Linked DNA regions of Rattus norvegicus. The protein of the gene in region 2 purifies or fractionates together with the protein of the main gene of each other region. This does not show direct contact. Links are inferred from orthologs where the notes say so. Each region holds a gene or a part of one and is shown on either strand. Other genes may lie near its edges.

Region 1 (3,654 bases), on a different chromosome or scaffold from region 2:
GCTGTGGCCAGGAGTGCACTATCTGTTTCTTGCTGTCTCTTCAGAATCTTGCCATGTCACTAGGCTTAATGTCACCACTTTTTTATCAGTTTTCTTAATTGAATCAAATGCCAGAGATACCTGTTTGATCTTACTGCAGGCACAGCTGCAATTACTTCCATGTCCTGTGACCCTTCAATACTGCCTTTCATGGGTGTTCCCAGAATTGTAGTGACTCTTGAAGAAACCATGTCCATGACCAATGACAGTAGCTCTCTGGTGTGTGTGTGTGTGTGTGTGTGTGTGTGTGTGTGTGTGTGTGTGTGTGTGTGTGTGTTGTATACTTGTGTATGTATAGGTGTGTCCACCCATGAGTGTGCATGTAGAGGCCAGAGATTGACTGTGACTATCTTCCTAATCACTCTCAGATTTTAGGGACAGGGTCTCTCCTTGAACTGGAGCCTACCATTTTGTCTAGACTGGTTGTCTAGTGAGTCCCCACTATCCACCATCTTCCCAGCCCTTCTTGATACATGTTTAAATTTAAAGAAAACAGAGCTTTTACCATTTCAAATGACTGACTATCAAAAAACTATAGAGTCACTTCTGCACTGGCAGCTATAGTGACAAGCAAATGAGTGGCTTTGCTTGTCATAGAGAGCTTTCAGAAGAACAGAGAGAGTTTAGAGGCAGAACTCTAGAAGAGATGCAAAGGTCATAGCTGACCTTAGTCTGCAAGAGGCTCTCTGCAGAATTATTCCATTGAGAAAAGGGCCTTCCCCTAAAGTGACCTCCCTGAGACTGTCTTCAGGTATTGTGGTGTGTCGTGTATATTCTATGACAATCATAAGGGTTCTGTTTTACACACAGCTCCCATTTAAAAGTCTCACTCCCTCTCACACTTTCCCTCCTCATTCAGGGAAAGTATGGGCCAAAGCAAAACCCTCTTCGCCAGACCAAGGGAGCTGGCACAAAGGCCTCCAGAATGGAGGACACAGTTTAAAGATATTTTCTAAACATTACATCTTAATTTTTACTTAGTGAAACTCAGAATTCTTGTTAAAACTATGGTAAATAATGAATTGGGAATCAAGCTCATTGATTAAACCTTTCTGCAAAACTACTGTAAAATCATAATTAGAACAAAGTAAATGTGGCAGCTGACCATCTGATTGGCCCCTCTTTTTGGTACAGTTGAGGGATGTTTTTGCTATACCCTGTTCTATGTTGTTCCCAGACTCATTGAGTCTCTCTGTGTCTATTTGTAGTGTGTGCTAGCACCCCGTGTGCAGTCACTGTAGTGTGCTAGTGCCCCTGGAGCTGTCTGCAGTCATTCTCCCATAGGCTTGCTGGGCTCTGGTGGATGTCTAACATGATTTCTTTCTCATGCATCTTCTGATCTTCCTACATTTCTTTATTTATTGGCAGTGGGGTGCCTCCCATGTCACCCCTCACACGTGGAGGTCAGAGACAATGTAGAGGTCAGCTCTCTCCTTTCTCCATGTAGATCCCAGGGATCCAACTCTGGTGATCTGTGTTTGTGGCTTTGTCTGCTGAGCCATCTCACTGACCCTATTGCTTGTGAACCTTTTTCTTAGACATTTAATCTTCTTTTTCCCCTTAGGATGAAAGACAAGACACTAGCTCAGAAGGAGTCTCCGTGGAGGACCAGAATGACTCTGACTGCACGCCACCCAAAAAGAAAACTCGGAAGGCAGAGAATGGGATGTACGCATGTGACCTGTGTGACAAGATATTTCAGAAGAGCAGCTCCCTGCTGAGACACAAATATGAGCATACAGGTGCGTGGGGGACACAGGCACAAGGTTCTGAAGCCGCCTGTGGCCCAGGGCACAGGAAACCTTCCTGTGGCATCTGAGGCTCTCAGCTCTGCTCCTTGGTCTTCACTTCACAAGTGGTGCAAGGCTGGCCTCTTGGTCACCTAAGGGTTTTTAAAAGAAAGAACTTCTGCATAAGAAACTGAACTTGATTTTAAGAACACTTCAGTCCTTAGGTTGACCTAGGACCTACAAACAATGTCTTGCAGACCAAACAAGGCTCCACTTATCTCTCTGATGCTTGTGAGCCAAGAATAGACTTTTACATTTTTTGTGATTGAAAAGGATTTTTTTTTTAAAGATGAAAATCAAACTTTGGCATTCTAGATGATGTTTTATTCCACCCAGAGATCCCTCACTTGCCTGGTGCCGAAAGCTGTTGTTTCTACTCATACCAATGATAGATTTGAATGATTGCAGTGGGGACAGAGGGCAGCCGGTCCCAAGATGCTTGCTTCACCAGGGAGGGCTTTTACAGAAGGTGCTTGCTGGCCTGCCCCTCCCAATTCCCTCTCTCCAGAGCCATGCTGGTCTATTTTAGTAAGTGTGTCTCTGCAGCCTGGGAAGTCCAGATAGGAAGCAGGCCCCTGTGGTCTGAGAACTCCCTCCACGACTGGCCTCAAGCCTCAATAGCTTTTGGACAACTCCAGAATGTCCATAGTTTAGCACCAGGCTCCTAGCAGTAAGAGCTGCACAGCCAACAAGATGGCTAGATGAAAGGCTCATTTCATTGTAACTAACCCCAAGTGATTGCCTTACCAGTCACTTCAGCTGCAGCTGCAGGACCCAGGCACATACACACCGTCAGCCTCTTACCAACCATGGTAACTCATTCCCTCTGGTGACAAGACACAAGAGAAGTGTTCATCACACTCTGCAGTGTGACACTTGCACTGTTGTTGGGGTTGAAAGCTGTACCTCTCTAACAAAAGCTCAGGACCATGCCCTCTACTTGTATTTACTGAGAAAATTAGAAAATCTCCTAATTCTTTAAAAAGAGTTAAATACCAGTAATATCAAAATTAAAATGACATCCTAGCTGTAAAAAGAGATGTCAAAAGTCCTTTCTGGATTTTAAGTGCTTATGCTGTACTTAGAAGTCACCAGTCCTGGTTATGCCTGCTGCCGTGGTATGTCTCCTGTGCTGCTCAGGCCACACCCACTTATCAGGGACAAGATCGCCCTGCGGGGCAAAAGCTGGTTTAGATATCATAACAGCTTCTACATAAACTCTACATGTGTGTTAGTTTGCTCATACGTAAAAAGATCCGTGAGACATCAAATGCCATAGAACTCCTCTTCCTGAGACCATTGCTGTGCACATGGGGGCCTCAATGGCCGACATTTTGCCATGTGGTCCTGATGTGTGGACTTTTGGCTTTTCAGCCTTATGCAGTTAGCACTGACCTCATCTGCAAAGCACTGTGTAGCCTTGAATTTTCACATAGAAAAGATGAACCATAAGTATAGTTGGGGACCTGCCAGTTTCTTGAGCATGGAACTATAGCCCTTCGCTTTCATAGTCTTAATGTCCCCTCACATCCCAAGCACTCTGTTTACTTCTGCCAGTATTCAGTTTCATAGCTGCGTTCTTACCTTGCAGGTAAGAGGCCCCACGAGTGCGGAATCTGTAGAAAGGCATTTAAACACAAGCATCATTTGATTGAGCACATGCGACTGCACTCTGGGGAAAAGCCCTACCAATGTGACAAGTGTGGCAAGCGCTTCTCACACTCGGGGTCTTACTCTCAACACATGAATCACCGCTACTCCTACTGCAAGAGAGGAGCTGAAGACAGAGATGCCATGGAGCAGGAAGACACTGGGCCGGAAGCCC
Region 2 (3,654 bases):
ATTTTGGGTGTAGACATGTATAATAGCATTCAAGGTATGGCAACAGGAGCATGAACCTGAGAACTTACATTTTAGCCACAAACAATGAGCAGAGTAAATAAAGGGGGATTAATAAGTCTGTAAACTCAACCCTCACCTACTGACATACTTTGTCCAACATGGCTGCACTTGCTGAAGATTTTATAATAGCACCCCTAGCTAGAGGCCAAATTTTCAACTGCCCAAGACTGGAGAGACATTTCTCATTCATATTACCATAGGTTCTTAATTCTCCGTATATCCTTTTATTAAAGGTCTAAACTCATGTAAGGCCATTTTAGACAGGAAAAGTGGACCTGTCTCATCACGTTTCCTGATCATGAATACCACATTAGCCAGTAGTCATGTGATTTTTGCTTGTTTCCAGCCATTTAGGTTTGTGCTGTTTCAGCACCAGTAGTAAGAGCAGAGAGCGCATGGAATTACTTATTCATTTTCCACTGTGACGAGAATACTCAGTTGTTTGTTTCATGTCAGAGATAGAGATATCTCGAGCCATCCGTTCCTTCACCCTCTTTCTTGAGGTTATGTTCAGTACTTCCAAGCCTGGTACTCTGAGTTTTTAAGTGATTACTAGTTCTTTCACTTATGTTTTCCTCTCTGCAAACATCTGGATATCACAGGAGTGATTGCTCATTACAGTGGGAGAATATTGTAATGAAGCATTTGGTGATCTATGGTTTGGTGTGGTGTTTTTGTTTATTTGCAGCCTATGGGCTATGGACCTCGCATGCAGCAGACTTCTGGCCAGAACCAATTTCTCTCCCAGACTCAGTTTCCATCCCAAGGAATGAATGTAACAAACATGCCTTTGGCTCCATCCAGCAGTCAAGCACCAGTGTCTCAAGTATGTTTTTACTGTTTAAAATGATGCTTAGTGTGCAGCAGGCACACAGGCCACAGGGCACACATACAGGACAACAGCATTTACTCTACTCTCCTACCTTTGTGTGGGGTCTGAGGATTGTGTTCAGATTCCAGACGTGACAGGCAGACATTCTTTCCTGCTGATAACAGCTTCCATGAGAAATGTGGCATAGAAATAGACAGGTCTTACCATTTAACCTTGGCCTTTAACTCAGAGAACAAATCTTTACTTTTTAAAAATATTTATTTGGAGTTTTGAGACTAAATTTCATGTAGCTCAAACTTGTCTGAACCTCACTGTGTATCCTAGGAGAGTTCTGATGTCATATACTCCTGTTCAGCCTCCCAATTGCTAGGTTCTAGGTTTGCCTTACCACACTCTGTTTTGTGCTTATAGCATTTTTAAGCAAGAGACAGTGGTTTTGTAATATTAAGCTACACATCTCAACCTTTCAAACCATATCTTTTTTTTTTGGTAGTATTAGGAATCAAATCTAGCATGTGCATATGCATTTAAAGTATTGTACTATATGAACGAATCTTAATATAATAGCTCAGGGTAACACTGAATTTTTTCCAAGTAGTCTAGGTTAGTCTCAATTCATGATCCTCCTGCTTCCTCTCAACTAGCTGGATTAAAGGCCTGTACTACCAGGACTGGCCAAGGATGAACTCTTAAAAATAAAATCTTGGGGTTGGGGATTTAGCTCAGTGGTAGAACGCTTGCCTAGCAAGTGCAAGGCCCTGGGTTCGGTCCCCAGCTCCGAAAAAAAAGAAAAGAGAAAAAATAAATAAATAAATAAAATCTTAGGGTTGTTAGAGATGGCTTTCAAGTTAAGACCACTTGCTGTTCTTCAAGACCCTGGTTCAGAGTCCATCTTTGTATCAGGGTCTCACATGCCTGTAACTCCACTCCTGTGCATCTGATTTCCTCTTGTGGCTGCTTTCTAATCAGGCATGCTTAAGTTACAACCCTGTATGATTGTGAGTGTTTCCCTTTCCTCCTCTTTAAAACTTATTGAGTTCAGGCCTGCACACCTTCAGTCCTTGCTCTGGAGACAGACAGGCAGGTGGTCTCTGTTAGTAAAGCTAGCCAGGTCTACATAGTGACACTTTTTCAGAATGAAAAAACGTTAGGTATTGTTTTTTGTTTATTCTCACTGTGTGTACTAAGACTATATATCCGCCTTTGCAATAACGTATATCTTTCATTCTCACAGGCACAGATGTCCAGTTCTTCCTGCCCAGTGAACTCTCCTATAATGCCTCCAGGGTCTCAAGGGAGCCATATTCACTGTCCTACTCTGCCTCAACAAGCTCATCAGAATTCACCTTCTCCTGTTCCTAGCCGTACCCCTACTCCTCATCACACACCCCCAAGCATAGGGACTCAACAACCAGCAGCAACAGCAATTCCAGCGCCTGTTCCTACACCCCCTGCCATGCCGCCTGGAGCACAGCCCCAGTCTCTACGCCCCCCATCTAGACAGACTCCTACACCACCAACACATCTGCCTCCCCAAGTGCAACCTTCACTTCCTGTTCCTCCTGCTGACCAGTCCCAGCCACAGCCTCGCTCACAGCAGAGCACAGCAGCTTCTGTCCCCACCCCAACAGCACCACTGCTGCCTCCTCAGCCTCCTACTCCAGTACGTAGATTGGAAACTCCAGTAATGTTTTTTGTTTTTCTTTCTTGTGGTTTTCTTTAGTTTTGCTTTCCATTTTGCTTTATCTCTTCTAGGACCTGAAGACTTATGGGTAAAAGAGTATATCACCACTCTGTGCCTTATTTACATAAAGATATTTTTAAACAGATTAAGTAGCAGTACTGAGAAATTAAACTAAAGGACATTATAGGACTAATTACACATAACCACACAAGTCAGAGAGCAACCTGGAGCAGTCATTTATCCTCTTCTACCATAGGTGTCGCCCAGGGATCAAATTCAGGTTGTCAGTCTTGATAGCAGGTCCCTCTACCCAGTGAACCATCACATTGTCCGCAATTACATTTTTTTTTCTTAAGATTTATTCATTTATTATATATAAGTACACTGTAGCTGTCTTCAGATACACCAGAAGAGGGCATCGGATCTCTTTACAGATGGTGGTGAGCCACCATGTGGTTGCTGGGAATTGAACTCAGGACCTCTGGAAGAGTAGTCAGGTGCTCTTAACCGCTGAGCCATCTCTCCAGCCCCGCAATTACATTTTTTAATACCTTGAGTTTTTTCTCTGAGGAAGTCCTCTTTGGAAGTAACACCAAAACCTTTGTAGCCATTCAAGTAAAACGAACCAGCCAACATTGGCAAGTCCTGTACCTCCTATCTTAAGATGAACTGAGTAAGAGGAGACAGCAGTGGGTCCAGTGGCACTGCTCCCAACAGAAATGGTACGGCTCTGTAGCTTAAAGTTAAACTCTGAGTAATTGACAAGCTTTTGTGTGCTTTTTTTTCCTCTTCAGCTTTCTCAGCCAGCTGTAAGTGTTGAAGGCCAGGTGTCAAACCCTCCATCTACTAGTAGCACAGAAGTGAATTCTCAGACTATTCCTGAGAAGCAACCATCACAGGAAGTCAAAATGGAGGTTAAAATGGACGTGGATCAACCAGAACCTGCAGATGCTCAACCTGATGACACAAAGGAGGTGAGGCTCTGTTATGAAAGGAGATTTGTGGGTATCCCTAATGAAGAGAGTAGATACATAAGTGATGGTCATGGACTTATTCCGAGGAGTATGTCTGTGAAATA
Region 3 (3,654 bases), on a different chromosome or scaffold from region 2:
CGAATCCACCGCCCCTCCTCCTCCGGCCCCCACCCAGGCCCTCCCTGAGTTCACCAGTATATTCAGCTCCCACCAGACCACAGCGCCAGAGGTGAACAATATCTTCATCAAACAAGAACTTCCTATACCAGATCTTCATCTCTCGGTCCCTTCCCAGCAGGGCCACCTGTACCAGCTGTTGAATACACCTGATCTAGACATGCCCAGTTCGACAAACCAGACAGCAGTCATGGACACCCTTAATGTCTCTATGGCTGGCCTTAACTCACACCCCTCTGCTGTGCCACAGACGTCCATGAAACAGTTCCAGGGCATGCCTCCTTGCACGTACACCATGCCGAGTCAGTTTCTTCCACAGCAGGCCACCTACTTTCCCCCATCACCACCGAGCTCAGAGCCTGGAAGTCCTGATAGACAAGCTGAGATGCTCCAGAATCTGACCCCACCTCCGTCCTATGCTGCTACAATTGCTTCGAAACTGGCAATTCACAATCCAAATTTACCTGCCACTCTGCCAGTTAATTCGCCAAATATCCAACCTGTCCGATACAACAGAAGGAGTAACCCGGATCTGGAGAAGCGACGCATCCATTTCTGTGATTATGATGGTATGTGGTCTGTGTGCTCTGGAGCATCCGTAGTGTTTTTCGTGTTCCGGGGTGCCCCGGAGTCTCACGTTTGCTCCCTTTTGAACCTTAGCCATGAAAATATATAGGGTGTACTTTTTCTCTTAATATTTTTGTGTTTTATGCTGGTGTATAATGGCTAGCCAGTCATGACAGCTCATGCCTTTAATCCCCGAAATGAGGCTGAGATAGGAAGATGTTCTAACTAGCCTGGGCTACATAGTGAGATCTTAATTAACTCCTACAATTCCCTTTTTTATTTGATTTGTTTATGTAATGACTAGACCATTAATCTAAATGGGGTTTCTTTCTCTTTAGTAGTATTGGATTTCATTTGGTCTAAAACCGTAGCACCAAATTCTAAAGTCTCTGGAGATTAAGTAGGTTGATAGGCAATAGTGCATGTGGTAACTTCTCTTCAGGTTGTAGGGACCCCTTGGCAGGCACAAGGCATCAGGATGAATTTTAAGAATGGTTGGTTCCATTAGTGTGTGCTCGTTCCCCAATGAGATACATGACCCAAAATATAATTGGACGTAATACATCTCCAAGTTGCAGGCATAAGTGAGTTTATGGTTAATGCGGGGCATAATTTATTGACTGCACAATGTGGCATGACATGCTAAATGAAAAAAAAAACACAGGAGTATAGAAAATTATAGTTATCTCAGATATAACACTGTCAGTCCTACATCCATTACATTAAATACACACACACACACACACACACACACACACACACACACACTACGATAGCTCTCCAGTCACTGAAGCCTGCCTTATAGCAAAAAGTACCTACTGGAATATAAACACAGAATTTCCATTTGTTACTGGCTGGATTATCTGTGGTCTTTGCTCCCAAAATGGTCCATAAAGCAGATCACCTCTGCCTCCTAATAAGGTCAGGAGGGCACCTTGAAACTTCCTAACCAAAACTTCCAATATTACATCTAGCACAAGAGATTTCATCTTGAAAGCCAAGTTTTAAACACTGAATCATCGAATGTAAAGATTGCAAAAGGCCCTGGAAATGACAAGTTGTTCTTCCTCTGTTCCCTTTATTTTAGGTTGCACAAAAGTTTATACAAAGTCGTCTCATTTAAAAGCTCACCTGAGGACTCATACGGGTAGGTAATTTTCTTGTTAATTCTGGGAGTTGTGTAAATAGTATAAGTGACATTCATCCTTTTAAAAGCCAAGATGTGTTTGATCTCTTCTTTCTTCTGTCAACTTTTATTTTTTAATGGCCTACCTTTTCAGCAAGGGCTGGGCTCAATTCAGTTCCCCAAGAAACTGATTCCGGGAAGGCTGATGTCTCCTCGGTGAGACCTTGCCCTGTCACCTCACGTAGAATTAATGACCCTCAAAATGTGAACAGCAGTGTTTACTGATGGATTTTAAAACTTTAATGGCAATGCTATTTCTTTCTGTCTTGAAAGAAGGAAAAAAAATCTTGGTAAATCATCTTGCTTCAATAAGGCCCTTTTTTAAGGTAAAAACTTTTCCACTCACCACGTCGAGCACCAGTGCTTAACACATTATCATCAGTTTCACCAGTGGCTTCAAATATTTGTGTTTTAACCTTATTGCTGTTTCTGAAAAGTGGGCCTGAGATTTGCAGAGTATGAAATGGGGTGGCCAGGACGGAGGGCTGTGGTTTGAGAAGGCCTCCTCCATCCTTAGTATTCCATTTCATTCTCATTTTTAAGTTCAGTCTCTAATTATATTTTTGATGTGTTTGGTTAAATTCACAGCAGTCCCTTGTAGGAGCTATTAATTTTGAAGCCCTTATTATCAGAATCACTTTTACAATGAAATTCAGCAGCCTACTTTATTAGAGGGTGGGTGGGTTCCACATACCCATAATATTTTCAGGTGTCTGGATGGCTACAATTATAATTTTCTTAAGAATAGCCCTAAAGGTAAAAACAGATATAAAAGTGGCTGCATTTCCCCCGCCTCGATAAATACACCCTCCTTACCTAAAGTTCAAAGAATAAGTTTGCTAATAAAAGCAGTGACCTAGCAAAATGTATTATTCCACCATTGCCATGGAAACCAAAGTATTCAACAGTTCCTTTGAATGGGTTGTTGGGTTAGTGTGAGGACTTGAATCTCCCCAGGCTAGATGTTACTATGGAAATTGAGTTTTGATAAATGAAGTAGTTATCTCTAACCGCTGCATTAAAAAGTAAAAGCCTTTGAACAAAGGTCAGTGCAGAAGTAGAGCCCTGTGAGAGCGGCTGCAGACTTCTTGTAGGCGTGTTAGGGAGCCTTGCTAGATAATCTGAATGCTAAACACTTCCTCAAATCCAAATGGTAGATTCGGGCTTTCCTGGAACGGCTTTTAAAAGAAAGACATCTCACATTTATCTGTGATGAGAATGAAATCATTTGAGCCCGAGGTATATTTTTTTTTTGTCAGCAGGTAAGCACGAACAGAATAATCCAACAGATAATTCAAGCTCCAATATAATCCCTCATAACATACAGTTGACAGGGGCCAGAAGAATCCATATAGAAATACTAAAGCAACATACTGAAATATCCTTTTGTAGACTAGTGTTGTTAGGGAAACACTGAACTTGGGCTTTTTTTGAGCTTTTGATCAAGGGAAACAGAAATAGTAGCTTCGAAACATTTGAGCTGTTCCTCTCTCATCAGAAGTCCTTGAAACTGGAGATAGGGAAGAAGGAAGGCATTTTCGAGACTAAAGTCCCCATAATAAAATGTGCAATTACATATGCCGATGTAACCGACTGCTTATTGCGGGCTGTATCTGAATAGCCTTTCCACCCTGTCAGGGTTTACTGCTGAATGCTTGCTTGTACCTGGGATCCTGGAACTTGACCTGCTGGCAGAGAAATTTAATAGTGGGTCTGAACAATGACAGTACTAATAAAAAAGCAGACTGAGACGGAGGATCTAGGCCTAGTTAGGGTCCCATGGAAGGACTTTGTCACTCGATCGTAAATATTGTGGCCTTAAACATCTAATGAGTAAGGCCATGTAATGCAGTTTCATGAAG

The links.
Region 1: the proteins of Ep300 (region 2) and Zeb1 purify together in Homo sapiens (affinity purification with western blotting; 5 studies listed by BioGRID, with this or other methods). This does not show direct contact. The link is inferred for Rattus norvegicus from reciprocal best matches to the Homo sapiens genes EP300 and ZEB1.
Region 3: the proteins of Ep300 (region 2) and Klf5 purify together in Homo sapiens (affinity purification with western blotting; 3 studies listed by BioGRID). This does not show direct contact. The link is inferred for Rattus norvegicus from reciprocal best matches to the Homo sapiens genes EP300 and KLF5.

Annotation. Positions count from the first base shown.
Region 1 is NC_086035.1:56,646,617-56,650,270, reverse strand, and holds part of Zeb1 (zinc finger E-box-binding homeobox 1), read left to right. Parts: intron 1-1,603; coding exon 1,604-1,781; intron 1,782-3,420; coding exon 3,421-3,654. UniProt on the Homo sapiens protein: Acts as a transcriptional repressor. Inhibits interleukin-2 (IL-2) gene expression. Enhances or represses the promoter activity of the ATP1A1 gene depending on the quantity of cDNA and on the cell type.
Region 2 is NC_086025.1:115,032,724-115,036,377, forward strand, and holds part of Ep300 (histone acetyltransferase p300), read left to right. Parts: intron 1-748; coding exon 749-886; intron 887-2,126; coding exon 2,127-2,555; intron 2,556-3,370; coding exon 3,371-3,550; intron 3,551-3,654. UniProt on the Homo sapiens protein: Functions as a histone acetyltransferase and regulates transcription via chromatin remodeling. Acetylates all four core histones in nucleosomes. Histone acetylation gives an epigenetic tag for transcriptional activation.
Region 3 is NC_086033.1:82,474,964-82,478,617, forward strand, and holds part of Klf5 (Krueppel-like factor 5), read left to right. Parts: coding exon 1-608; intron 609-1,693; coding exon 1,694-1,753; intron 1,754-3,654. UniProt on the Homo sapiens protein: Transcription factor that binds to GC box promoter elements. Activates the transcription of these genes.